2 linked regions of the Saccharomyces cerevisiae S288C genome follow. The protein of the gene in region 2 interacts with the protein of the main gene of each other region in a pairwise test. Each region holds a gene or a part of one and is shown on either strand. Other genes may lie near its edges.

The links.
Region 1: the proteins of TYC1 (region 2) and ABM1 interact in a protein complementation assay, tested with the Saccharomyces cerevisiae proteins (one large-scale study listed by BioGRID).

Annotation. Positions count from the first base shown.
Region 1 is NC_001142.9:627,165-632,414, forward strand, and holds ABM1 (Abm1p), read left to right. Parts: upstream 1-1,547; coding exon 1,548-1,919; downstream 1,920-5,250. Other genes in the region: LIH1 (putative lipase), read left to right, coding at 176-1,162; YJR107C-A (uncharacterized protein), read right to left, coding at 1,293-1,529; carbamoyl-phosphate synthase (glutamine-hydrolyzing) CPA2, read right to left, coding at 2,421-5,250. UniProt on the Saccharomyces cerevisiae protein: Required for normal microtubule organization.
Region 2 is NC_001134.8:797,023-804,957, forward strand, and holds TYC1 (Tyc1p), read right to left. Parts: upstream 3,221-7,935; coding exon 3,101-3,220; downstream 1-3,100. Other genes in the region: PHO89 (Pho89p), read right to left, coding at 1-1,500; transcription factor MAL33, read left to right, coding at 3,501-4,907; MAL31 (maltose permease), read right to left, coding at 5,609-7,453.

The sequences.
Region 1 (5,250 bases), on a different chromosome or scaffold from region 2:
CAAACAAAAATGGGCCATATATTCTTTCTGTCTCAACCTTCGTTTCCTTGGATGAATTATTTTGATTGAGCTCCAAAAAAAAAGTTGTAGCCAGGAACTATCCAAAACTTCGATTGAGAAACCCATAACAATGATGCCTGCCAGACTTTTCATACTATATCTTTTTGTAGTACTCATGCCTGTTGTTCATTGTTCGTCCAACCTGCCCATCACTCCATATATCTATGAGCGTCTAGTATATTTTATTAAGGCAAGCTCTATATCAAGCTGCATATCTGACAACTTACTTCTTGTTAATAAAACCTTCAACGACGGAGGTTGTCCACCACATATTAACTTCTGCAATGATGAGATAATTAACCCAACAGCGGGTCAAACAGTGGTTGAATTAGTTCTTAATGCAAAAAAAGGTGAATTAGGCTCGGGTTATCTGGCTGTTGACCACGGAAAAAAGGTTGTTATTTTAGCATTTAGAGGATCCACAACAAGACAAGATTGGTTTAGTGATTTTGAAATATATCCTGTTAACTATTCTCCCCTTTGCGTTAAGGAATATCGTAAGCTTATAGAGGAAGGAAAAATCAGAGAATGTGAAGGTTGTAAAATGCATAGAGGATTTCTAAGGTTCACAGAAACTCTCGGGATGGACGTCTTTAAAAAAATGGAGTCGATTCTGGAAAGCTTTCCGGAATATAGGATCGTTGTCACTGGGCACTCCTTGGGGGCAGCATTAGCAAGTTTGGCTGGGATTGAATTAAAGATAAGAGGCTTTGATCCGTTAGTGCTGACATTCGCAACACCAAAGATATTTAACAGTGAAATGAAACAATGGGTAGACGAGTTATTTGAAACAGATGCTATAGAAAAGGAGTCAATTCTTAAAGATGAAATTCAATTTCGTAAGGGCTATTTTAGGGTTGTGCATACAGGTGATTATATTCCTATGGTTCCACCATTCTATCATCCGGCTGGTTTAGAGATGTTTATTAACAAAGTTGGTCTACCTCAGAATGCGGAAGATATTGAATACCGTGGTAAAAATAACAGGTTAACTTTAAAGGATGGATTTCGAGAGGGTATGAGCGGTTTGGTTGAAGACTGGTTACATGTCTATGAACATCGAGCCTACTTCATTGACGTAGTGGGATGTTCTGGACTTTAACATTCACCCACTTTTACGTTTTTGTCTATAACTAGCATATATAATACCGCTCTAGAGTTACTCTAAACTAAATGCGACCACTATTCTTAACTAATAATTGTTCTTTTTACAAATAACTCTTTCAAAACTTCTAATCTTTTCTCTTACGTTTTCCATTTATCTGCTCTTCTTCTGAAACTCTTTTTCCTGCATTGGCCCTCTCTTTGTTACATGAAAGAGGTTTTAGGGTTGGTAATATTTCTGGTTGTAAACTTCTTGAATACACTTGGGTAGCTAACTGCTTATTCCAGTTCTCCTGGCCACTAATCCCGGCTACGCTTTTGTTGAAATAGTATTCTTCTACAGCATCATAGCTATCATCACACATGTCTACTAGTTTCCACGTATGTCTTGGAGGTACTCTATCTTGACCGTAGATGGAAGCTTTAAAATTTTCATCCCTTGGGAAATATTCCTCACGTGGAATTTTTTGAGCGCTGCATGGCTAAATTCTACCGAATCCAATACGTATATCCACTACTCAACATGTTGGGGCACAAGTGATTACACACTTAATATCTCTGTCATAGAAGCTACTACAGAGAAATTGGTTGACACTAGATTATTAACAACACTCGAGAATGCAACCGCTTGGATTAACTCAAACTCTATTGATGAAGACGAAGATGATATGCCTCATGCCACTAACGTAGCAGACCGGCTTGATGGGTTATCCCTTAGCAAGCGCGTATATAGCATCTGTCACTACGAATTTTAGTGCGGATTCTCTCCGTAGCGTAAACGTTCTCTATACATCATCTACCCATGTTGCTCCACCTAGCAGAACATTTCAGAAAGAAAGAAGTCCAAGTAATGGCCAACAACCAGAAGGACAGCTTTTTTTATGAAGGCCCCCTACTGCATATTCATTAAGCTTAAGCTTGATCGGTGAAAAATGCTATAATCTACGTGTACTGGTCACATTGTTGCACATCTCAATTAATCAACGCTCTATTATTATACGGAAGATATAAAGGCATAGTAAATACACTTGCCTGAGGTATTGATTGATGAATTATTTTCCACGGCCCATGCGTTACTCACTTCGAAAATACATTTGAATTTTAGTGATAAGTTTTGCGATCTACTTTTGTTCAAGATAATAATACTGGGGTAGAATATACACTAAGAAGTCTCTTTGAAATTAAAAATATCTCTAAAAAAATCCATTATATAATATACAGTAATACAATTAGAGGCAGGTTTTTCTTTTGCACAATCAATATGCTTTGAAACCAATAAATTCATCCCAGGAACGGACTTCTGGTGGAACTATAACGTCATGAGATTCCAAAATTTTGATCTTTTCTGCAATTTTTGCCTTCAAACACTTTGCAAATAACAAAGCCGTTTGAGGTTCATTGAACAATGGGATAGCAAAATCAATAGCATTCCTTCTCATAATATAGTCAACATCGTCAGTGCTCTCAGCTCTCTTGGAGGCTAAATTGAAAACAGCTTTTATGTCATATTCTTGAAATAGTTCACGCAATTTTCTCTTATCATTCTTTGGAAATTTAATCAAAGAAACCTTTGCGTTCTTTTCTTTGATGTGTTCCTGTAGATACGTTTTAGTGGTCTCATTAGTTGTGTATATTCTGTAACCAATAGTGGCCACTATGGAAGCCACTTGGCCCAAGTATTCTCGAGATGTATCACCTCCAAATAATATACCACTTGGAGGTAGTGGTACATGGAAGTTCATGGTACTTTGAATAGCAGTCCAATAGCTTTCAATTAAATCTCTACCAAATGAAGCAACTTCACCAGTTGATGCCATTTCAACCCCTAAGAAAGGATCTGCACCAGCCAACCTTGTAAAGGAAAATTGAGGAACTTTAGTAGCAACATAGTCGTACTTTTTGTTGAGCATCAAATCAACAGGTTTTGGTACAATGTCACCGCCCAAAAATGCCTTGACAGCAATTTCAATAAAATTAACGCCTAAAACTTTTGAAACGAATGGAAATGATCTAGAAGCTCTAATGTTACATTCAATCACTTTCAATGTATGCTCCCCATCCTTGATGATTTGCATATTGAAGGGGCCAGTGATCTTCCAAGCTTTTGCGACCTTATCAGCAATGTCTTTTAGGGCAATCTTCACATCGTCAGAAAGATGTTGTGGCGGTAAGACTAAAGAAGCATCACCGGAGTGCACACCCGCATTTTCAACATGCTCGGAAATGGCATGTACCAAGACATTACCATTATAAGCAACGGCGTCCACATCAATTTCTTGAGCACCTTCAATAAATTTAGACATGACGACTGGGTGGTCTGGAGAAACGTCAGATGCCAAAGTTAATTTAGCCTTCAGTTCCTCCTCATTATTAACAACACTCATTGCCGCACCGGAAAGAACATATGAGGGACGAATCAACACAGGGTAGTTAACTTTAGAAGCAAATAATTTTGCTTCTTCTACTGATGTTAATTCACTCCATTCAGGTTGGTCAACATCAATAGAATCCAAAATAGATGAGAATTTGTGTCTGTTCTCAGCTCTATCAATATCGTTTGGATTGGTACCCATTATATTACAGCCGTTATCGTAAAGTTTCAAGGCAATGTTTTGAGGTAATTGACCACCGACAGAAATAATGCAACCCTCAGATTGCTCCAACTCATAAATGTCCATCACTCTTTCATACGATAATTCTTCAAAGTATAATCTATCAACTTCATCGAAATCTGTGGAAACTGTTTCTGGGTTATAATTTATCATGATAGTTTTCTTGCCTTGATCTCTTAATGTCTTCGCGGTGTTCACGGCACACCAATCAAATTCTACAGATGAACCAATACGATAGACACCAGAGCCTAAAACCAGCATACCATTTTCGTTGAACTCCACATCGTTCTTTGTAGCATTGTAAGTGGTATACAAATAATTGGTTTGTGCTGGAAATTCTGCGGCCAAAGTATCGATTCTCTTGACAAAAGGGATTATACCTAACGTTTTTCTTAAACTTCTGATTTCCAGTTCGTTAATGTTTGTGGAGGCGTGTTTATTTATAGTAACCGCAATCTGCTTATCTGAAAACCCTAATTTCTTGGCTCTCTGCAAGAGATCTTTACTCAAGTCACTTAAAGATTTAACTGATTCAAGCTCTTTATAGATATTAACAATGTTCATGCACTTGTAAAGAAACCATTTATCAATTTTACTCAATTCATTAACTCTCTCAACAGTATAGTTTTCATGGATTAAGGCCTGACCAATGGCAAGGACTCTTCTATCAGTTGGAGTTCTCAAGGCTTCATCAAGTTGATCGCCGAATTCAGTAGAACCTTGGAATCCCAATAATGATGGATCCACCTGTCTTAATGCTTTTTGAAAGGCTTCTTCATAGTTTCTACCAATAGCCATAACTTCTCCAACTGATTTCATAGAGGAACCAATGGATCTGTCCACGTATTGGAACTTAGAAAGATCCCACTTAGGTATTTTTGCCACAATATAATCCAAAGATGGCTCAAAGTTAGCCACTGTAGTTTTTGTGATTGGGTTTGGCAATTCTGGCAAAGTATAGCCTAGCCCAATTTTGGCGGCAGTGTATGCTAAGGGATAACCAGTGGCCTTAGACGCCAATGCAGAGGAACGAGATAAACGTGCGTTCACTTCAATAACTCTATAGTCTAGCCCATCAGGTTGCAAAGCGTATTGGACATTACATTCACCAATAACACCAAGGTGTCTAATGATTTTAATTGCGGCGGATCTTAACATATGAAACTCTTCATCTGATAGGGTCTGCGAAGGAGCAAAAACCATAGAATCACCAGTATGAACACCAAGTGGGTCGAAATTTTCCATATTACATACTGTAATACAGTTACCAACCCTATCTCTGACCACTTCATATTCAACTTCTTTCCAACCTTTCAAAGATTTTTCAACAAGAATTTGTGGGGCCAACGACAAGGACTGTGCGGCAAGTTCCTTCATTTCACTTGCATTGTTAGCGAAACCTGAGCCTAACCCACCCAAAGCGTATGCAGATCTGACAATAACTGGGTATTTGACCCTTTCAGCAGCCTCCAAA
Region 2 (7,935 bases):
CATGACAGTAGTAATAGCAACAGCTAGTTCAATTGAAAAGCCTCTTGATGGCGACTGCAAAATCATCTTATTACCTAGATTTTTGATAATATTGTAACCATAAGTCCAGCAACCAATAACTAAGGCAACACCACCATAAGCCAGAACCCACACGGGAACTTCGGACTTTGCCCCAATAGTGTTAGTTTTCCAGATCACATACACAGCAGACAAAGGACCAGTAGCGTTGGCAACGTCATTAGCTCCATGAGCAAAAGACATAGTGGCTGCAGTAATGGCTTGGAGAACCGAATAGATATATTCTACTCTATTGTCGTAAAATTTAGATCTTTCGTACATTCCTTTCAGGTCACCAGATAACATATCTCTATCATTAACTTGAGCATGAATGACGTCTTGAGTCCAACCATGAGAGATTACTAACCAGAACAATAAGGGCCATTTTTTAGGTCCTTGCTTTAATAATGACCACCAATATTGTTTCGTTGACAACTTTGTTTCTGGTTCAGTTTCAGTTCTAACCAGGTCCACTTCCTGGATGTCTTCTTTGTTTTTGACGGAATCATTAGAATTACTCGCTGCCTTATTTTCTTCGTCTTCAACAGAAACAGTTGTTCCAAGATTTCTTCTGCCCTCGTAATAATCGATTGTTAATTGATGGCCTTCTGGCATTGGTGGGATATCATCAGTGGACTTAAAGTAAAAAGATGGACCTCTGAAAATATCAATCAACTTTAGTGTCCAATCTTGGTCCAAAACTTTTCTTCTGTAGAATGGGTAGAAAAAGATGAAGTAAACGATCGAAGCAATTGCACCTGTGAGAACAATAGATACGGCAGTTTCAGTTTCAGATAAATCGTCCAAGTGTAGGTTTGGAGAACCCTTCCAGACAATCAACATTGTTAAGATAGAGAAAGTGGCGAATACTAAAACACCAACCAGCAGTAAAGCATTCTTAATCGATCTTTCCAAAGACTTAACTTCAAGGACAGAAAACCTAGAAATTGAAAAAACTATAGCTGCGATCGCGCCTGCCAAAATCGGAGCAATGAACCATGACGCAATAATTTGAGAAACACCACTCCAACCCCAAACGACACCGTTAGCTCCACCGGCTGCAATCCCAGCGCCAATTGTACCACCAACAATGGAATGTGTAGTAGAAACTGGCATTCCGATTGCAGTAGCAAATGTTAACCAACAAGACGAGCCAATCAAAGCACTGGTCATAGTAAGCATTAAAACAGCGGGGTCGTTGGTAAAAATGGAGGAATCTATAATGTTGTTCTTGATAGTACCAGAAACTCTTGCGCCTGCCAAGACAGCACCCAAGAACTCACAGAGACCCGCCAAAACCATGGCTTGCCAGTATTTTAGAGATCTAGAAGAGATCGACGACGCGAATGAGTTCGCCACGTCGTTTGCCCCGATGTTAAAGGCATCCAAAAATGCAAATAACATGGCAATGGCAAAAATATAGTCAAATTGATGTAAAGCCATTTTTGCTTAATCTTTGTTTATATTGATTCGATTAGATACGCTCCAGTATTCTCACCTTTGATCTATGTCACTCATTCTATGACAATTCATGTAAAATAACCTCAATGTAAAGATCATCTTCAGCAGGTTTATATATAATTTTCTTCATATCGAAAACCGGGCTTAGTGACATGAATTGTTTGGAGATGTCCACCCAGTAGACATTGTAAAAAAAATCTGCTATTGACTGAGTTAATCTAATGATTTACATAATAGAAGGATCCAAAGTGGCTGTGACATCTAGTATTGATAGATTAGTATTATTACTATTTGTCTCCCACGTGCTGCATTGTCATATGCAATTTATTAAGATTACATAAACTCCTTTGTACGGTATATTCTTAAAGCCTTTCAATGACTCGGGCCAATTTTTAGCAATATTTCGACATTTAAGGGCCCACTAACAAATTAATGGCACAACGTGGGGATGACGAAAAAGCAGAAAAAGAAAAAAAAGGTCTATCGCACAGCCACACACCCTTGTGGTGAAGCCGTTTTGTGATCGGTGTGGCGCGATCTGTGAAATTTAAACTTTTTTGCGGGTGAAACCGAGATTTCTGAAACTAGATTTTCTGGCTTCGCCAAAGAAAGATGCATCGAATTAATGAAATTAAACGGATGTAAGGAATGAAATTATAACGATTCCGCTAATGTTCTTTACTGACGAGTGTCACTGAAGTACTTACTCGTGAACAAAAATTAACCTATATCAGTAATTTTGATATTGTTAAAAGTAGGTATCTCTATCAAAAGAGATTATAAGACCCATCGGCAAAACTCGAAATATCGTCTTGAGAAAATCATTATACAGTACATGGTGCAATTTTAAATGATTTTTAAATACTATTATATAATCGATACATTTAGTACACGCGAAGACAACGTAGTGTTGAGATTCAAAGAGGTTACAGTTGAATACGTGACAAAGCTGACGAGAGTACTGTGAATTCAACAAACCATAAATGGTCACTCCAAGTAACGGTATTGTGATTTCAACAGAAAACACAAGCATTGTGTTAGCGTGCTCGTAAAATATTATTTCAGCGGTGAAGCAGATATGCGTTAAAGGTGGGCTCGCTATTAAATCATGAACGAAAAAACAGTTATGTCGTTACTGGTGTGAGTCGATATTACGAAACCACTGGCAGGTAGATGGATAGAATGGGACTGATTGGAACAGCGCAAGTTTTTTTCCGTGGTCGGAATTCTCGTAGTAATATTGGAAAATAGTTGGAAGAAAAATTGTGTGAAAAAATACATGCTGAAATAGTCAAACGAAGAGAGGTGAAGAATAGATAAAGCTGTTGAGAGGCAAGACAATGTTTTCAAGATGATCAGAAAAGGATACGGTCCAATATCTATTTATATTCATTGCCCTACCGTGGTATGTTAAAAAAATATGTTACATTTATTGCTCCCATTGGATTTTGCACAGGTGTGAAAGAGCTCAGTTGTCAAGATTTAGTCATTAAGAAGGGCCGCAGCAGCTTTTTGTATAATAGAGCGTCTTTTTTGTTTGTGAAAAAAATTTTATGGTGAGATATTGTTCGATTCTACGAAGTCATTTTACTAGTTTATGGACTCTGATATAAGACAGAGTTGACAAGGAAATGGTGCCGTGATTGTTTCCGTGTACAGCTTTTGAGAACTTCCTTGAAAACCAATCATCTAGCACTTTCATTTCTGGGGAAAAACCTGGAACCAAATCTTGAAAAATAAATTCCCCAGAAGTTTTCCTTATTCCGTGTTCTAATCTTCTCGTTCACTTTGCAGTGACATTCCACGGCCATGCGCAATTTACCCCGCCCCCGGATTTTATTGTCCGTACCGCCATTTTTCAATAGATTAAAAAGGAACAAAAAATCATTTCAGAAGGTTTCTTTCTCGGGAAAACACTAGAGTGTAAATATTGAATATCAAACATCGAACGAGAGCATCTTGAAGATATTTATGTTCTAAATATGACTTTAGTCAAGTATGCATGCGACTATTGTCGTGTCCGTCGAGTAAAGTGTGATGGTAAAAAACCATGTAGTCGCTGTATTGAGCACAATTTCGATTGCACATATCAGCAACCATTAAAAAAAAGAGGCTCAAAGCCTATTGGAACTAGAAGCTTAAAGTATATACCAAAGGCCAAAATGTTTATAGATAATAAAAGTTGTACGGCAGCGGCAGAAATATTAATGAAGGTTCCTAAAAAGGTGATTGATCAGTGTTTGAGGCTTTATCACGACAATCTATATGTTATCTGGCCTTTACTCTCTTATGATGACCTTCACAAGCTTTTGGACGAAGAATACAATGACCATTACGTTTATTGGTTTCTCGTAGCTCTTTCAGCAGCCAATCTTAGCGATCTACAAAGCGAATTAGAATCTGAGGGGGGATTTTCGTTTACTGGAAAACAATTAGCCGTTCTCTGTATGTCCTCACGCCAACAATTTGATGACCTTAGCGGCAGAGACATTTTCCGAATTATGACATATTATTGCTTGCTACGTTGTTTTTCACAGTCTTCTGATGTAAGAAATTCATACAGACTTTGTCGTGAAGCTATTGGCCTTGTTATTGTAGCAGGGTTACATCGTGAAAAAGCATACGAATCACTATCATTTCGTGAGCAACAGCTTTTACGCAAGGTGTATTATTTGCTTCTCTTGACGGAAAGATACTATTCCGTATATGTTCATTGTGTTACAAGTTTGGATACCACAATAGCTCCACCTCAGCCAGAGTTCGTAACGGACCCTCGACTTTCTTTGGATAGCTTTTTTGAGATGATTAGAGTATTTACTGTACCAGGTAAATGCTTTTTTGATGCTTTGGCTACGGAGTCTACTAGCGGTTCTTGCACTGAAGACTCACTGAAAAAAATATGGAAAGAGCTTCACACAGCATCCCTTGAAATAGAACCATGGTCTTATGGCTATGTGGACATTTCATTTTCTCGACATTGGATTAGGGCGCTGGCTTGGAAGCTAGTGTTTCAGATGAATGGTACCAAGTTTTTCTCAAACGCCAATAATGCTCACATATTGGTCGAAATTGCAAAGGATATGCTGGACGACATATTCTTAACTCCAAACAACCTGTATGATGTACATGGTCCTGGAATACCAATGAAATCATTGGAAGTAGCCAATGCATTGGTAGATATCGTAAATAAGTATGATCACAATATGAAGTTGGAGGCTTGGAATATTTTGTGCGATGTATCCAAGTTCGTTTTCTCCCTGAAACATTGCAATCATAAAATGTTTCAAAGGTTTTCAACTAAATGTCAGAGTGCTCTAATCGATTTGCCTATCTCTAGACCACTGCGCCTAAATGATGATTCCAAAGATGAAGACGACATAATTCCTTAATTTATTGTTCACGCCGTTCACTTATACGAGATAGATATACTGATAGAGTGTGAGTGATATTCTTAAGTCTTGCTTTTCGAGGGTGTAAGAAGCTATGTTCTTCAGGCGAGATTATTCTACTCCTGCCTTACTTGTTTGTAATATTTAGTTCTGATGGTCATGATAATTCTATATACAGTTACATTAAGTATATACTTAAGCGGGCAGCTTACTAATATAAATTTTGTGGCATTTTTGTTGGGATATGAGAATCATGTATCGTTGATTTACAAAGCGAATTTACGTTACCAGGAATAGGGAATACTCTCTTGAATTCTAACATAAGCACAGAAATGCTGAAAGAATACGTCAAAAAGTAAATTTACAGAATTAAAAAAAAAATAATTGTTGCCGGAACATGAATAGAGTGTATCAATATACAATATAAAAATTCAAGCATTTTCATTAACGGGAATGAAAAAATTGTATATTAGTACTTCTTTTTGCAAGATATTTAAATCTAGGACCCTCATCACAATGATTCATTTAAATCATTAACGTTTTTTCAGAACAAAATAATAACCTCTAGTTGAAAAAACTTCAAAGCCGCAACAAAACCAAAAAAAAGTCATAATGTCGAGTAAAAATAAACTCGATGTGTTAAGTACTAGTTATATAAAATAAAATTAAATAACGCCGTATCTACCTACTGGCTAAAAAAATCATTTGTTCACAACAGATGAGGTGTTTCGCCCTTCATCTACCACAGAAGTTTCCAAATCTTCCTTCGGATCTTTAACATTAATTTCTGCAGCTGCTGCTTTGGCAGCTGCAAAAGGGTCGACTTTAGTCGACTTGAACTTTCTTGCTGGAACACCAAGTCTAAACAATTCATTTATCTCAATAAAAGTCCTGCCAGCGGTTTCTGGTAAATCGACAACAGCCCAAGCTAAAGTGGCCAGACAAAATCCTCCCCAGAAAAAGCCTGATTTAGCACCCCAATTCCATTTCTCTGAGTTCAATTGGTACATGATCAAAACTGTAACTACAACTTGGATCACATTGTAAGCATTACGAGCCAAAATAATTGTTTTGGTTCTTAGCCTTGAAGACGGTATTTCAGACACTAAGCAAAAAACAACAGGTGCAATACCGAGGTTGTAAAAGAACGCGACAACCATTAGAAGAGCACCACTACCCATTTTAGCGCCATGAGTGTCTGAACATCCTAAACCACCGATAATGAAGAACATAATAGCCTGAAAAGCCAGCCCAAAAGCATAAAGGTCAAATCTGCCACAATATTTTGAAGCCCACCAGGATATAAACGTTGCAGCAATACCAAGACAATATTGGATAATACTGAAAGTAAAAGCCGTATCAGTGCTAACACCAGCTTTTTCATAAAAGTAAGTTGAATAACCAATTAATGATGCACCACAGGAGCATTGACCGATCCAACATAAACAAGCTATTCTCGTTCTTCTCCTGTTAATACCATCTTTCACACAATCCCAGTAAGTTCCTTCATCAGACATTTTCTGCTCCTTTTCTATAGTAGTTTTGATTTTATCGAGTTCCATACTCACTAGTAATTCTTTCTCGGGTCCTTTACCACTTAATGTTCTTTCAAGTGATCTCCTCGCTTGATCAATCCTTCCTTTTTTAACCAGCCACCATGGAGACTCTGGTGCAAAAAAAATACCTACCGCCAAAGGAAGGGGCCAGATCCACTGCAAAGCAAAAGGTAGCTTATATCCTAGTTCTGAGTTGGCATATTTGTTCTGGGAATTTTTCATAATACCAGCAGCGAAAAGTTGACCGAACGCCCAACATAAATTAGAATAAGTCGTCAAATAGTATCTTAGGGCCAAAGGACAAATTTCAGAAGCATAAGAAACGGTCAAACATTGGAAACAACCCCATGGCATACCACACAATGCCTGTCCCACGGCAATCATACCCAAACTCTTGCAAAAATACAGAATGAAAATGAAAGCCGCTAAAAAGAACAACGCCATGATCAGAGTGTAACGGTTGCCCATGTAATCTACAGAAGGCCCAGTCATTTGCAAACCGACAATCTCACCTGCCATGTAGCATAGACATAGACCGATTTGCCAGGAAACTGAAATTTCATAATCTCCTGTATTGCTATTCAAAGAACCATATTTTTTTTGAAAAACAGGCAGGGCATAGAAAGCTCCTAGAATGGCTGTGTCATAACCCTCTTGAATCAATGTTGTGGAAACTAATAGTGACCAAGCAGCAGCTTTTGGATATGTCTTCAAAGCTGTCATGAGTGGCATTCCCCTCTCACTTTCATCTGCCTCTTTGGCGTCCTGCATAGCTTCATCGAGAAGGTCGGGGACTTCTTCATTATTATCGTTTGGTATTAGTGAACCTGGACCGTACTCAAGATGGGAAAGATCAAAATCACTTTTCTTACCTTGCTCCTCCATCTCTATCGAGTTGAATTCGGTAGCGTTCACGCCATTCTCGATCTCATCTAAGTGTGAGTCGTTCCTGTCTTTTTTTCTGTTTATTAATGAGGATAATCCCTTCATAGTTAATTAATAGTCTTGGATGTAATTCTTATTGTTATACTGAATACGCTAAAACCACTCACAACAAGTATGGAGTATATTGTGTCTCTTTATATACTGAGTACTTATGCAATATGCGCTCACTCAGGATGAAATGTACACAGCCGAAAGTATATTGAAAGCTGCCTCTGTGGAAACTTCTATCTAATGTTGTCTCCAGATGTAGACTATGAGGCCTGAAGAAGTCTTTAAACACCTGTTGGAGAGTATAAGGAGACTGCTACAACAACGTCTTCCCCACAAAAATTATGTGGAGGCCGGTATGATACCTGCACAAACGTTAAGTTACACATGAAAAAGAGACTGACATAACTTTGATCTCTGAAAATATGTTTTCCCCTGAGTAGCTTCACTGCTTGGATACCAATACGAATAGACCTTGGCTATAGTAAGTTGCATCTGTACCGTAGAGATTCTTGCAACCTCGCTTAAACTCTCGCTTT